2 linked regions of the Elephas maximus indicus genome follow. The protein of the gene in region 2 purifies or fractionates together with the protein of the main gene of each other region. This does not show direct contact. Links are inferred from orthologs where the notes say so. Each region holds a gene or a part of one and is shown on either strand. Other genes may lie near its edges. The genes, in order: UBE2B and UBR2.

Region 1 (7,858 bases), on a different chromosome or scaffold from region 2:
TATAGTCCCAGAATCTAGCACAATGCCTTGCACAAAGCAGTCATTTTTATTCAATATTCATTATACTAGAATATTTCTGAGTAATTATTTCACAACACTTGGCATAGCTTTTGTTAAGTTATACACAAGCACATGCATCTTTTATCACTATAAAATTACAAAATGTTAGATAATAAACGGAGTATCACACTTGTTTTTCAGTTAATGTCTTAGCACATGTGTTAACTGAAATATTCTTGTAAACAATTTTTTTTATTTTCTAACAATTTCTCTTATGATTTATAGAACAATTAAGCAAAAGAAGCAAACCTTTAGAAACTTTATTTCTCTCGTTGCGATTTTGTTGACAGATTTTTCTGGTTTCTCATAAAATATCTTAATGGCCACTATCTGCCCAGTAACCTTATGTTTACACTTCATGACTGTTCCATAACTTCCCTCTCCCACTTTTCCAAGGGTTTCATACATCTCCATTTTAAAGTCTGGCTTCTACTTCCTCAGAGAAATAAAGGAAAAAAAAATGTTAAACGTTTATAGTTTTATTTATTCAAGCTGGATAATGCATTTCCAAAATAAACCCATACTTTCAAATACAGAAACATAGAAAAAATCACGAATCTTTTCCACAGAATCTGTCTTTGAGCACTCCGCCAGCCCGCCAATGAAGTGTTCCTATGGGGCTCCTGCCCTTACCAGAACTTATGGCTCGGCTGCCTCGGTTATTCCCATTAACACTGAGGTTCCCTTACTACGTGTCACCCATCTATGAAGTGTGTAGTCCCAACACTTCCTGTCATTCCTTCGTCAAATATTAGGTCCCCGCACCACTGCAGCTCCCACACATCAGGCCCGGGACTGAGGAAAGCATAAGTCCCGCCCGCTCCTCAAATCCGACGTCTAAGGTCCTGGACCGGAGTCGCGCCCCTCACCCCGCTGTCGAGTTAGTCCGGGCAGCCACCGCCGCCTCAGCCCATTCTGCAGTCCTGTCAGCCTAGCTCCGCGCAGTCCCAGCCGGGCAACGGGACACGGACCCGCCTCTGCCAGCCAACCCCGCCAGCTCGCAGCCGCCCGCTACCATGGCAACGCAGCGACAACACTCTGCCCCTAGTGCGCAAGACCGGATTATCGGCCGGGTCCGACCCGGAAGGAAAGTGAGAAAAAGCGGAAAGGGCTCCTGGAGCGCGCTAAAATGGAAGCTTGCTTGGGGATCCGTTGGGGTCTTGGTGGGTTTGGCTTCGCTCAAACTCGGGGCCTCCTCACAAGGTTAGTTTTGAGCGGGATGGGAAGCATCCACATTTTGACAGCAGCATGAGTGTGTGGCATGCGTCGCGGACGCCACCAGGCTGGAGAACACCCGCCGCTAAAAGAATGGCTGTTGTCATTAAGCTGTGATAGTTTGTAAAGCGAGACTTCCAAGAAAGTCTTGTGTGGTTTTTGTTTTTTAAGTTACTTAGTACAATACTATTCCATGGACCTGAGTTTGACCTCAGGTGTTGACATTCATCCTTAAACGGGTATATCATCAAGAATATTTCGTGAACACCTCTCTTTAAAATTTCTTCCAACTCCTAGTAATCCTTTTTAAAAAAGTCCCTCACTACATGTTAAAATAGCCCCTTGGGGAAAAGACCCTGAAGAAAGTAATTCAAAGGATTTTACCACACACAGGGAGTGACATGCAATAGCACAGAGAAAAAGGGGCCAGTGTTTAATTGCTTAAGGACTGGACATAGGGTTCAACTGTAGTGACAGCTTAAAAATGAATAACTAGAGTAATGCCGAACAAGTACCTAGGAAGTACTGCCTTTCTCGGGGTTTTAGTTTCTTCTGTAAAATGAGATAAGTGTATAAGGTCAAATCCCACCATGCTTCCTCTAAATAAATTATTATCTAATATTGTTATCTAATAAATCTAGCCCAGTGCTTCCCACCCCAACATGGACATTAAAATCACACCTGGATAGCTTTTAAGAAGTCCTCACTCCCAGAAATTCTGATTCACTTGGGATGGGGTAAAGGAGAAAACCCTGGTGGTGCAGTGGTTAGGTGCTATGGCTGCTAACCAAAGAGACCCTAGTTCAAATCCACCAGGCGCTCCTTGGAAACTCTATGGGGCAGTTCTACTCTGTCCTATAGGGTCGCTATGAGTCGGAATCGACTCGACGGCACTGGGTTTGGGGTAAAGGAATTGGTATTTTAAAAGTTCCTCCAAGTGTTTCTAATATGCTGCTACGGTTTAGAGCTTCTGAGTGGGGAGAGTGAGGAGGAATGATCCTGGTTTTCCTTTTCATTAGCAAAATATTCAGAGTCGTCTTTCCTTTTGAAAAGTTACTCAACAATGTTTAAAAATCCTTGTAATCTATGAGTGTCAAAGTTAATCTTTGCCCAGACTTGCTGTAAGCATATTTATTTAACATTTATTGTGGGTTAAATATTTGTAAAGAACAGAACATGAATCAGACTGGTCTCTGCCCTCAGTGAGCTCACAATCTAGAGCCACAGAATTGTTCAAAACAAAAAAACCAAAACCATTGCCGTCGAGTCAATTCCATACTGCCGACCTTTTTGGTTAGCAGCTGTAGCTCTTAACCACTACTCCTGCCAGGGTTTCCACAGAATTGATAAGACTATACAATTTCAGAAACCCTGGCAGCAGTAATGGTTAAGTACTACAGCTGCCAACCAAGAGGTCGGCAGTTCGAAACCACGAGGCACTCCTTGGAAACCCTACAGGGCAGTTCTACTCTGCCCTATATGGTCACTATGAGTTGGAATGACTCGATGGCAATGGGTTTTATACAGTTTTAGCTTGAAATTATTCATTTTACAAATAGGCTGTGGCAGGCTTGGAGACCTGAACAGCCAATGATTCTTCCTTATACATCGCTCTAAGACTATGAAGATCCTTGACAGAATTTGTCAAAAATGTTACTTCATTTTGGAAAACCATGTACAATTAAAATTGCTAGATAAATTACATCACAGGGTTTTTAAAAAGTAACTCTTTAACCTTTTTTCTTTAGCATTTCACTGCGTGGTACCCTATACCGTCTGTTTTACTCCCTAGCTGTGGAGAATATGGTAGGAAGGCAAAAAAAATCAGCTTTTGACTTAGAGAATCACATTTGTGATTGAATAGCAGGACCTATCAAGAGTTAGGCCTAGCTAGCTTGATCACCAAGGCTGTTACTAAAAGCTAACGATAGAATTCAGGATTTGAAAAAAGGGAGGTACCAGTAAAGCTAACCCTTCCTGGTTTCTTGGAAATACAGGCAAGCTGAAGAAAGACTGATACAATGCAAAGAAATTTCCCTGCCTTGAGCTGAAGAATTTGTCAAGTAAATATGAAAAATTGCTGAGAGTCATCCTGAGCAACAAAGACCTGGAGTCAGTTAAAGACTATAGCTGGAGGAAACTCAGTGAAGAGAAAATGGCACAGGATGGACACTTCTTGCTCATTTGGGCCTTGCTTGGCTAGTGTAGAAAACCAGAAATGAGTTCTCTCAGGCTAGATATATAAATAAGTCCCACCCATGTCAGCACATCTCCCGCAGATCTGAATCGTATTTGTAGGTTTCTTTAACAACAGATCACCTGTCGCACCCTCGCAGTTCTTGACAAATACGATTCCCTACCGTAGCCCAACCCATGGATTCTTAACACAAGTCCTCAAATGAGAGAACCATACAGGAAAAACAAAACTTTTAATTCCGTGCTTATTTTAAACAACAACAACAAAAAAGCCGTGGACAATCTGTACACCGTTTTTTAATCTTTGCCCAGAATTTCCAATCCTGAAAACTCCACTGCAAAAGAAAGAGGCTATTTGATGACCTAAGGAAGAATTTCGGGGGATTTTGTTTCGTGTGGGCCTCAGCATTTAATGCTGCGCTTATTAAAAGATCGAGAAAGTCCCTACACTACTACTTTGCCTTAAGAGCCAGACTGATTAACCACTGAAACAACGAGAGGGAATTTTATGTCCAAATTATTTTGGGCTCCATTTTAAAGATTTAGAAAGACAAACCTGCTTCCGGCATGACCTCATCGATAATGTAGTCCCTGTACGTGAGACAGACTGATACAGGTGTACCCCACCCTAATACCCATAAACTTGGGTACCCGCATCATAGAGCTGGCTGAGACTGATTCAGGCGGCGGTCCCACGTGATCCATTCTAATCGCGTCATAGGGACGCGTGGTTCTAGCTACCTCACCCCTCCCCGTCAGGGGTGGATTGTTGACAACGCCGCCGGTGTCACGTGACCTGACGTCATTCCACCTCCTTTCCCTGAAGTCCCTGGACCCGGATGCGTCCGTCTCTCCCCACCCAGCCGAGCCTAAGTCAGTGAAGGGGGGAAACAGGGTGGTGTTTCGGTCACGATGGCTTTTAATCCAATGGGTCTAAGCATAAAGAATACCAACTTGTCGAGGAGTTCAGGAAGCCAAAATGAGAGCGGTCCTTGCTGAGAGGCTCCCGGAACGTGCTCTCCTACATCCCGCCCTCGCTCACCTTGTCCCCCTCCCCTCCCTCTGTGGTACTGGCGGAGGGCGGAGGGATCTGGAGGCGGCGGAGGGAGACGTCATTGCAGGGTTGTTTGTGCAGCGCGGCGGCGGTGACCCACAGTGACTCGGCCGCCGCGCCGGGGGGTGGGGGGGGCTGTGCGGAACTCTTTTCTTTCAGACTGACCGCGGGGCAGCTTGGAGCATGTCTACCCCGGCCCGAAGGAGGCTCATGCGGGATTTCAAGCGGTAAGGGCCTTCACCTTCACCTGGCCGACGGCTCCTTCTCAAAGCTATGGAGCTGCAGGGCGGGGACCTCGGACACGTTCCCCTCACGACCCTAAGGGGACTGGCTGTGGGCCCTAGCGGGATCGACGGGAACCCAGTGGTAGTCTTCGCACCCACTCCCTCTTGCTGTTCCTTAGCGGCGTTAGAAATCTCGATATCCTCCCCCTCTCAATCTTAGCCAAAAAAAGTAAACAAAAAAGGTGGCTGTCGCCGGCCTAAGGTTCCCTGCTGCCCACTTCTGCCAGCTTCCCGACGTCTTGTCCAAGCGCTCAAACCTTATCCTCCCGCCCCTGCACCCTACTGCGCCCTTTCTCTGCCTCCCCAAAGTGAGCTCTGATGCAGAAGCTTGTTCCCTGTCTGCTGAACTCGTCAGCTTTGTTCAACAGCTCCACGTTCTCCTTTGAGGGCCAGAGGTTGGGGTAAAGGTCCCCCTCCCCCCGCCTCGTCATTCCTTTTCTTTCAGCATTGAGGGTGGGGTCTGAAGTGAGAGGCCCGGAGGTTGCTAACCCATCCCGCGAAACCCGACTCTGCCCCCGCCTGCCTGAAAGGACCTTGAGAACTGGCCGGGAGGCCTGGGCCCCGGGCTGCCAGCTCCGGTGCCAGTGCCTTCTGGTGTATAAAGCCCTATCTATAATCTCCAAATCCTTCTGGAAACATGCCTTCTGTCAAACGGGCGCTAACCTGATACTCCCTGGGCCTCTTTTTGTAAAGTAGGGCTTTGTTAGGAGGTGTTACGGTTACTGAGGAGGAAATGATTTTTTCAGTTGTTTACCTCTTACTGAATACCTGGAGGTTGAGAAAAATAAAAATAAGGGGTGAGAGGATTTAGTACCGCAATTCTCTGCACAAGCCACAGTTTTCTGGGGGAGTGTAAAAGGTTAAAGTAACCTCCCAACTTTCCCATTATAAAGCCGTAGTTGAGGCATTTGGAAACTATTGTTTCGGGCTTTGCCCAACTTAGCTGAAATCACTCAGAGCTTCTCTTAGCTGTTCACCTCTGATGAGCGTCAAGCAATGTGTAGTTTCTCTAAGGGTCTTATTCTTCGTGGCTTAATATCCTTGAGGTGGAGTAAAAACCATTTTTATGTGGACTAAAGGGGAAAGTATCATGCCACATATGATAATAATTGATAGATGATAGAGCTTTTATTTAGATGACAGTCTTTAAAAGAATATACTTTGTTTAGTCCAAAAGTCTTTCTAAAGTTTGAAATTTGTAGATTTCAGATTAACTCTTATGATTGGAATTCAAATACTAAAGCTTGCAGAGCCTGTCCGTTGTTCCCCTACTTGCTTACTGTTTTTCTCTGCTTAATTCTGGATTGAACACATGGCCCCCTTGGTAGTTTTCCAGGGGTTATGAGAATTTGTATTGGATCTCCTGGTTTGCCGGGTATGATTTGGTTTTTAGTATAGAGCCCTAAAATAGACCAAACTGAAGCTTCAGATTACTATAAATGCCATCGCTAACTGAAGCAAATGTGATAAAGGTGCTCTCCTTCCTAAAACTGATTTCCTAATTAAAAGAATATGAGCAAAAAATAAATAAGCACTTGCAGTCCTTTAGCATTTACACTTAGGTTGTGTGTGTGTGTTGCACACGTAGCTGTGGTTAGGAGTTTCAATCTTTGTTTAGAGCAGCAGATCCTGTTCTGTAAAAATATTTTTGCACTTGAGTTTGTGTGTTTTGCTTTTGGTTTTTTTTGTTGTTCAGGAGGACAGTCTGTATGCATCAGTTTTTCAAGAGATCATATCTTAACCTTGAAAATACTTGAAAAGGATGAATCCCAAGCCCTTGGGACTTATAGAAAATTTGCAGAGATATTTAATAAGTATATATACCTTTTTTTTTTTAAGTCAGGTATAGTTCATTCCAGCTCAACATAAGCTAAGGAAATTAGTTTGTGTCGCCAAAGTAGATGATACAGAGAACGTCGGTGTTTCGTTTGGCCTCCTTGGAGTCCTTAGTGTTTGATTTTTAAAGTTACTACTATGGATTCCTAGGTTGCAAGAGGACCCACCTGTGGGTGTTAGTGGCGCACCATCTGAAAACAACATCATGCAGTGGAACGCTGTTATATTTGGGTGAGTTGAAAGGTAACAATAGGTGTGGTGATTCTTGAGAAAAGTTAATATGTAACAAATGTCTAGAAAAAAGACTGAGGTGGAATCAGGGACCTGAAGGACTGAAACTGCAAGATAAATTAGAAAAAATTTTTTGGTTAAGAATTTTGGCACTTACATAGAATATATTTGCGCTTTAGCATTACATATTGATTTTATAGTCATTTTGGTTTTACTTAATGAAAAATACCATTTGAAACTAAATTGAATAATAAAGGAGAAAAGATAAATTCTTTTGTACAAAATGTACCAGGTAAGTATTCTGCTCACATTTTATTGCGACTGTAAAAAGGCTTGGAACCAAAAACATTGTGAACTTTCTCTATGGCGAGAATGTAAATGAAAATGTTTCACAGCCCAGTGTAAAATAACTGAATGGATCCATTTGATAAACAGCCTTCTTACAAATGATATGTTTTACATATATGCCTTTTAATTTAAATTTTCCTTAATGCCTTTTTTTTTTGCCCCTGGACTTGATCCTTTTTTTCTTTCATTTTTTTTAAACTAGGGTTTTGGACTAAAATTTGAAATTCAGATTTGTTTTGAAGGAATGCGTTGGTAAAAGAAATTCTCAGTTGCCACAGAATCAGTTACAAGAGTATACGTTAAAAAAAAAAAAAAAGACTAGAAAGAAAAAATTAAAGAAGCAAAACACTGTTTTAAAGTGACCATCCATTACATTCAGACTGTTAACTGTTTTTTTTTAATTCTGAATGTGCCTTGCAAATAATAAACTTTGTGCTGCTGCTTAGGAAAGGTGAAATTGGGACATGGAGGCAAGAGAAAAAGAGCAAAAGAAAATGACTTTCTTGGTAACATCAGCTATACCTAGCCAATTTGAACAAGAGTGATTTTGGGGAACTACTAACTGTTGGAAAGTAAATCACTGTGGTTTGATGTCATAATTATCTTAAACTATCAATTTCCCTTTTATTGAAAT
Region 2 (7,560 bases):
TGTGATGGTTGTACAACTCTATGAATATACTAAAACCCACTGAATTGACTGTGTATGAATTTTTTTTCAAATCTGTTAAAATATTAAAGCAAAAAATATATATAGACTTAAAACTTCTACAGCGAATATGTATTTCATTTATAATTGGGGGAAAACAATACATGTATTTCTTAAAACATAATCACCCATTAGAGCACAATATTATTATAATCAAATCTGTGGAGCACAAAATGTAGTAAATAAGAGCTGAGAAGTTTTGGGAAAGTCATAGTTGTTGTGGAATCAATTCTATCAGGAAAATGAGAAGACTGAGAAGAGGGAGCCATTTCCATATCCTAAATTTATAATAATTAAAGCCAGCCTAGATGCTTTTTGTGAGGCATAGTACTTAGGATATATGGGATCACAATAAAGTCCTTTCTCCTCATAACAGAAATAAGAAAAGCGGTGTGTAAATAAAGTGTGGGAAAGAAGAAACTAGCGCTCACTAGTAATCTAAAACGGATGTGATCCCAACAAATTACCAGTATTGTTTATCCTCTCTAACATTTACTTTAAATTGGAGAGGAAACTTTATTAAGTCTGTGAAAAAGAGCTGTGCTGGAGCCTAAGTTGAAAGAATAGTTTTAAGTGCTATGCTAACATAACTAAAATACAGACAGTAATCCTTTACAAAGTAAGGCTAGGCTTTATAGCTGGAGGAATCTTATATTTTCATATTAGTTTGCACCTAATATTTGAAGGAATTTTGTTAATTATTAGAGTAAACATTTTTCTTTATATTATTGGTCAGAAAGCCATTTAAAGTAAACAGAGCAATAGTAAAATGGAATTCAGTTTGTTGATCTTCACAAACTCAAATGAAGTCCAAATTAATAAATTTTTATTGCATTTCCCTTTATTTTCCCCATTGTGTCTGCTTGAGAATTTCACTGCTCAAGAACTAGGAGCACTGGTCTCCAGCACCGTTTCTGTTAACTGGTTTCTTCAGGAACCTCAACAAGTTGGAGAAGCTCTGCTACTCAATAGTTTGCACTTTTAGAATAGGGATAATAGAATATGTAGCCTGCATCTCTGGGCCAACAGGCACTAATATTTGGCGGGATTAAAAAAATTACTTTGAGGTAACTAACTTATTCAATATCAACAGGCAAGACCATGGATAAGGAATAGCTGCCGTTATTATAATATTACTGTTTACTTGTAATGCTGCTTTCATTTTCTTGTTCAAATCTCTTTGATAATTACCAATGAAACGCAGATGGGGGATGTAAATCCTTGGGTTGTTACCACATTAAGCAGAAAGTAAAAGAAAACATAGACTAAGCAACCAAGTCAGGACTGTGGTTAAAACCAACAACAAAAAAACAAGCAAAGAACCATGGATTTCTTTAAATGTTCACCTCTACTCCTGCCTTCACTTATTTCCACCCTAAAACTTCAGTGTCTTCATCAATTCACTCAAAATAACTTCACTGCCCAACAGCCCCACAGTGCCCCCTGCTCAAATTTTTTTCATAACATTCAGACTGTCGACTTGTGTTCACTCCCTTCCTAGTAGTTTTTTAAACTGGAGGCCTTAGAGGTGGGGCCCAAGTTGTTTTGGTCCATTCATAATCAATCTGGACAATCTGTTCTAATGGGTGTTCCCTGTCCTGCTTGGGGAAAAATGCCATCGAGTTTCATCAATCATTTTACAACTACTAGCATATTCAAATTACAGTTTCACTACAATGCTAAGTATCAGTTTGGGGCATACTGCTTCTACTATGCTTTAGCCAACCCTCATATTATTAGCTTATATTTGGTGAAAACTGCTGCCTCGAAGTTATATAACGTTTGTCGTCTATCCAAAGACCATCAACTCCTAGAAAAAAAAAATTTCACCTGCAGCCTCCATCACTACTACTTTCACACATTCACTAAACGTGTCAAGACACTATCTTCCACGCATTCATAAACGTTGTGGACCGACCAAACAGGTTAAAAAGCGCGCTGAAGGGGTTAAGGGAGAGAACTGTGTCGTTTGCATCCCCGGTGCCTAGGGCAGTCCCAGAAACAAAGTGGGGGCTCAGTTAATGAACCTTTTTTGGTGGACAATGTGTATCTCCGCTTATCTCAGAAAACGGAATCGGGAAGACCAAGTAGGGCGATAATACCCAAAACGCTAGGAAACATCTCTTTCCCTCCCATCTTCCAAGAGCTGGAATAAAGGGCAAAGGCCTGCGTGTTGGGGACTTGCGGGAGGGTGAGGGGAAGAAGAATAATGAGAGCTCTTGGGTCAGCCGGGACTAAAAGGGAATGTAAACGCGGCTGGTGCACAGTGCAGTGCTGGCGGCTGTTTGAGAATGAAGAGGGAAGGAGAGAAAGGAGAGGGGAAAAACGATCGGTGGCCTGCCCGGGCCGTTACTCCACAAGGCCAGGCCGGCCCGGTCGTCACCCCAAGTCAGGACCAGACTGCACCAGGATTTCCAGGAGTGGGTTCCTCCCCCCGGCGCGGCCAGCGAGGGCTGGACGTCCCCGCCCGGGTCCGGCACTCACCCCCGCGGTTTCCTCGGCCGAACATTCCAGCAAACTCCGGTCGATGGCCTGCACCTCGGGCTCCAGCTCCGACGCCATCTTCCCTTCTCCTTCTCCCCAGCGCTGACGCCGCTACCGCCGCCCCGAGGGCCGCGGCCTCGCCACGGCCCCGGCGGCCGCGACCGCTACCCTCGCCCCAGGCAGTCAGTCAGTCAGTCCCGGAGCCGCCCAGGCGGCTGCGGGGGAAGCAGCAGAGGGAGAAAGGCGCGGTGAGCCGGACAGGAGGGACGGCGGTCTTCTGCGCTCCCGCCCGGGCTCAGCGCCTAAGCGTCAAGTCACTGCTTCGTCCCTGCCCAGGGGAAGGACACAGAGGAACCCAAACCTGGCACCCTTGCTCGCTACTACCGTCTCCCGCACCGGGAAAGGGGCAATAACACTCAGGAGGGGAAGAGGAGGATACTGGGAACTGTAGTAGATCTCAGCACAGCACAGAGAACGGTGACACCCTTATAGGGTGCCCCACGAGGGTATTGTGGGAGTTGTAGTCCATTTCTAACCGGAGACTGAGCAAATGGCAGATAAGGGGGCGGGACTTTCTGGACGACTAGAATCATGGGAAGAGATTAGTGGCATGAGACGCCTACCTGGGAAAGGCACGAACCCAAGACCAAACCAAACCTCTTGTCGTGGAGTCGATTCGGATTGATAGCGACCCTGTAGGACAGAGTAGAACTGCCCCATAGAGTTTCCAAGGAGCGCCTGGTGGATCCGAACTGCGGACGTTTTGGTTAGCAGCTGTAGCTCTTAACCACTACACCACCAGGATTTCCGGAAGAGGCACCAGAACACGATAATGTGGGAATTGTAGTTTTATCCCATACACCCAATTGTTCATTTTTGTATTTTCAGCGCTTTGAACAGTGCCTGGCACGTGGTAGACACGTAAGTACTTGTCAAAGCCTGACTTAAGGTAGGCACTCAAATGCTTGTCAAAAGAATGGATGAATTGCATTCTACTCCTGTAGAATTCTTTGACCCTGTCATCCATCATCCTCTCTCCCCTTAGACTAGTACCGAATTGAACATTACCCAGGTGTTTTAAGGTTTTAAAATATGTTTAAATGCTGTTAATAGAAAAACTTTTCAAGCAATTTAGTTATGACCGCTTATCAAGATTACGAAAATTTCCTGCAAAGGAAAAGGACTGTATCAGGCCAATTTGAAGATTTACTCTTGGTAAGGACATTTGATAGACATAGACAACCATTGTTAGATTAGATATTTAAAAAAATTCTGTTTGGTTAATGGCAATTAGATTCTTGACTGACAGTTGGGTGAATGGGTTTCTTAAAACAAATCTTCAACCATTTAGAGTTTATCAGAAAATTGGTTACACGTTTTATCAGGAGTGCTAATTTTTTCCCAGAAGGAAGTTGTGAGTTACATTACGCAAAAAAAAAAAAAAAAAAAAGTTCTGACCCAGACCAAGTAGGGAACATGTTTTTGTTGTTGTTATAATTTGGAAATTTTAGAATCTTACAAGCATCCAGGAAGAGAAAACACAAAGGTTCCATAATCAGAAGCACTGGGTGCCTCAACCTTTCAGATATACATTTGAGATTATTATATTTTCAACCAACATTTCTAGGTATTTGTGTTGGGATTGGTGGTGATTCAGATGATAAAGTTTGCCATATTTTTAGGATAGTTAAAATGTGAGCTCCATGTAGGCAGTAACTTTCTGTTTTCACTTATGTACATATGTTCCTAAAACAGTGCCTGACGTATTAGATTCCCAATACACCTTGGTTTTTTTAACCTAATAATGCTTTGTTATTTTTATGACTGCATAGCGTTCTGTGCTATTCCATGAATGTATCGCAATGTGTTTAAACTATTGATGAACTCATTGGTTCTTTCCAGTGTTTTGTGTGATTAAAAGAATATTCAATTAAATTCCATTTTCATATTGATTGGCAAGCTAAATTTTAGGTATACCCACAAAACCCACTGCTGTCGAGTCGATCCCAACTCATAGCGACCCTATAGAACAGAGTAGAACTGTCCCATAGAGTTTGCAAGGAGCGCCTGGTGGATTCAAACTGCTGGCCTCTTGGTTAGCAGCCATAGCACTTAACCACTATGCCACCAGGATTTCCAAATTTTAGGTATAGCAAAGGATAAATTTGTAGAAGGGAGTTTTCTGGGTGAAAGGAAATAACGTAACTGGTGAAAGGGCAAAAGGTACAAACTGAGGCTCAGAAGGGGCAGGACTGTAAAAAGGCCCACTTGGGTGCCACCTGTTATACCCAGTCCCAGGCACAGGACCTTCCCTATGCTCAGGGCTTTCCACCCTGGCTCCTCACTGGGCCTAGACATGGTCTCAACCTCCAGCTCATTACCTACTTCCCTCTCTCTCCCCCTGCAAAAGATACCCATCTATGTACTATTTCCCACAAAGCCCAGTCTTTGGCCATATTCATCCTTCCATCCACCCATCAATTCATTCAGTGCATATTTTCTGAAGCTCCTACTAAATGCCAGTCACATTCTTGTTACTGGCAAGATATCAATTAGCAGGCACAGTTACTGCTTTCATGGGCTTATATTTTAGTGGAAGAGACAGACAATAAAAAAGTAAGTGAGTGAATACATTATACAATTACAGATATTGAGAAATGTTCAAAGAAAATAATTAGGGTGATCAGAGAGGTATATCTGAGGAGGGGAAAGTTGAGCTGAGTCTTGAATGAGAAGAAAGGGTCAGTCATGTGAAGATCTGGGACAAGGGCATTCTAGGCAAAGTAGACAGCAACAGCAAGGGTTTTAAGGCTGGAACAGACTTGGCATGAATCAGGAACAATAAGTTTCATGGCAGTTAGTTTTCATATAAACTAATAAATGCTATGCCAGCTGGTAACAGTAATAGGTATATTATTCCTATTCTCAACTAGCATCTTTCAGATAAGTGTTAATACATTTCAGTTTAGATACAACAAAACTGAGACTTATGAAGGTAAGATAACTTTCCCAAGGTCACTGTGGTAGGTTGACTGCAGTTTAATGACCCTCATTAGGGGGCTTCCTGTAGGCACTTCCTTTACAACGTGACTCTACCACTCTTTACATCAAGAAGTGGTGTCTACAAAAAAAGACCAGACTTACTGGTCTGGCAGAGACTAGAGGAACCCCCGAGACTATGGCCCCCAGACACCCTGCTAACTCGGAACTGAAGCCACTCCCAACGTCCACCTTTCAGCCAAAGATTAGATGGGCCTATAAAACAAAAAATAACACGTGAGGAACATGCTTCTTAGTTCAAGTATATGAGACCAAATGGGCAACACTTGCCCAAAGACAAAGGTGAGAAAGCAGGAAGGGACAGGACAACTTGATGAATGGACGCAGGGAACTTGGGGTAGAAAGGGTAAGAGTGTTGACACGTTGTGAGGATTGCAACCAATATCACAAAATGATTTGTGTATACATTTTTGAGTGAGAAACGAATTTGTACTGTAAACTCTCACCTAAAGCATGATAAAATAAAATAAAGAAGTGCTGTGTATTTCCCTACCCCTTGAATCTGGGCTGGCCTTGTCACTTGCTTTAGTGAATGGAATGTGGTAGAAGTGATAGAATAGCAGTCCCAAACCTAAATCCCCAGAGGTGGTCTTGCATGCTTCCTTCGAGTGCCCACTTTCTCCCTAAGAACAAGTCTGCGCTAGCCTGCTATAGGATGCGAGACCACATGGAGGAGAATCTAGATACAGCTGGCAGCCAGCCAACTCCTAGAAGCAGAGGCACCTAACTGACCTGTGGGTAGCTGCAGACACATGAGGGAGACCAGAAAAAATGGCCTAAATTGCCAACCTGCAGAATCATGAATAAATGATTAATTAAAAAAAAAATTTTTCATGGCAAAGCATATAAAACATAAAATTTGCCATTTTAAGTATTTTTACATGTGCATTCAGTAACATTTGTTACATTCACAATGTTGTGCAACCACCATCACTATCTATTTCCAAAACTTTTTCACCCCAAACAGAAACTCAGAGCTCATTAAGCAGTAATTGATGTTTTAAGCCACTAAGTTTTGGGGTGATTTTTAATGCAGCTATAGCCATCAATTCAGTCACACAGGTAAGGGGCAGAGCTGGCCTTTGAACTCAAGTCTTTCCAACTCCAAGGCTCATATTCTTTTCATGCAATGCTGCTTCTCCAGTGTACCCATTTCCAGGTAAGTTAATTTATACATATATATATATTTTATATAATTAACCAAGCTCATGTACAGTAGGCCAAAAGCCAGGGAAGGCTCCCTTCTCCTTGTTGGGTCCTATATTATTTGACTCTTACAGGCCATGGATAAAATATTGAGAACTTTGTGTTTTTGAATTGTTTCAAAAGAGTGAACAAAGACATTTCTATGTTAGGAAAGCCACTTCAAGATAGGTTCATTCATGATTAAGATCTGTGGACACATGCTCTGCTTTTCTTGGGGACAAAGTTACCTGGTTCTCTCTTTTATGTCTGAGATGATTAAAATGATGACAGCCAATTGCAATTTTTTTTCCCACCTCATTTGGGGCATTGAGAGTGAGTTTCTTCTAGTCTTAATAGAGATGTTATAAAGCAGCTGGCATACCAAAAAGTCCTCAGGGAAGAAAAAAATAAAAAGATTTTGAAGGATACATTATGTATTCCATACCTATTGTTACTGATACAGGTTGTTTCCTGGGAATGGGATCTTGTGGCTCCTTGTTCCCTAAAGTTAGCTTGTCATTGCTACCTTTTTTCCGGATGTGGAAAGGACTGTCACATGGCATACTGTGAGGAAGAATTGCATCTGGTCATTATGTGATGGAAAATGAAAGAAGAGGTCTGGTGTCTGACTGCTTTTCAAAGACATTAGTAAACTATGACACCCAACCAGAAAAGGACAAGGATTCAGGGCTGCCAGACATGGGTATTATTATACCCAAAGCAGTTGCCATCTGTGTGTCAGGGTAAAACTGTGCTCCGTAGGGTTTTCAATGG

The links.
Region 1: the proteins of UBR2 (region 2) and UBE2B purify together in Homo sapiens (affinity purification with western blotting; 3 studies listed by BioGRID, with this or other methods). This does not show direct contact. The link is inferred for Elephas maximus indicus from reciprocal best matches to the Homo sapiens genes UBR2 and UBE2B.

What each region holds. Positions count from the first base shown.
Region 1 is NC_064820.1:146,804,953-146,812,810, forward strand, and holds the start of UBE2B (ubiquitin-conjugating enzyme E2 B), read left to right. Parts: upstream 1-4,597; 5' UTR 4,598-4,708; coding exon 4,709-4,752; intron 4,753-6,795; coding exon 6,796-6,876; intron 6,877-7,858. Other genes in the region: CDKL3 (cyclin-dependent kinase-like 3), read right to left, coding at 310-489, 4,028-4,048. UniProt on the Homo sapiens protein: E2 ubiquitin-conjugating enzyme that accepts ubiquitin from the ubiquitin-activating enzyme E1 and transfers it to a E3 ubiquitin-protein ligase. In vitro catalyzes 'Lys-11'-, as well as 'Lys-48'- and 'Lys-63'-linked polyubiquitination.
Region 2 is NC_064819.1:107,010,873-107,018,432, reverse strand, and holds the start of UBR2 (E3 ubiquitin-protein ligase UBR2), read right to left. Parts: upstream 3,028-7,560; 5' UTR 2,620-3,027; coding exon 2,542-2,619; intron 1-2,541. UniProt on the Homo sapiens protein: E3 ubiquitin-protein ligase which is a component of the N-end rule pathway.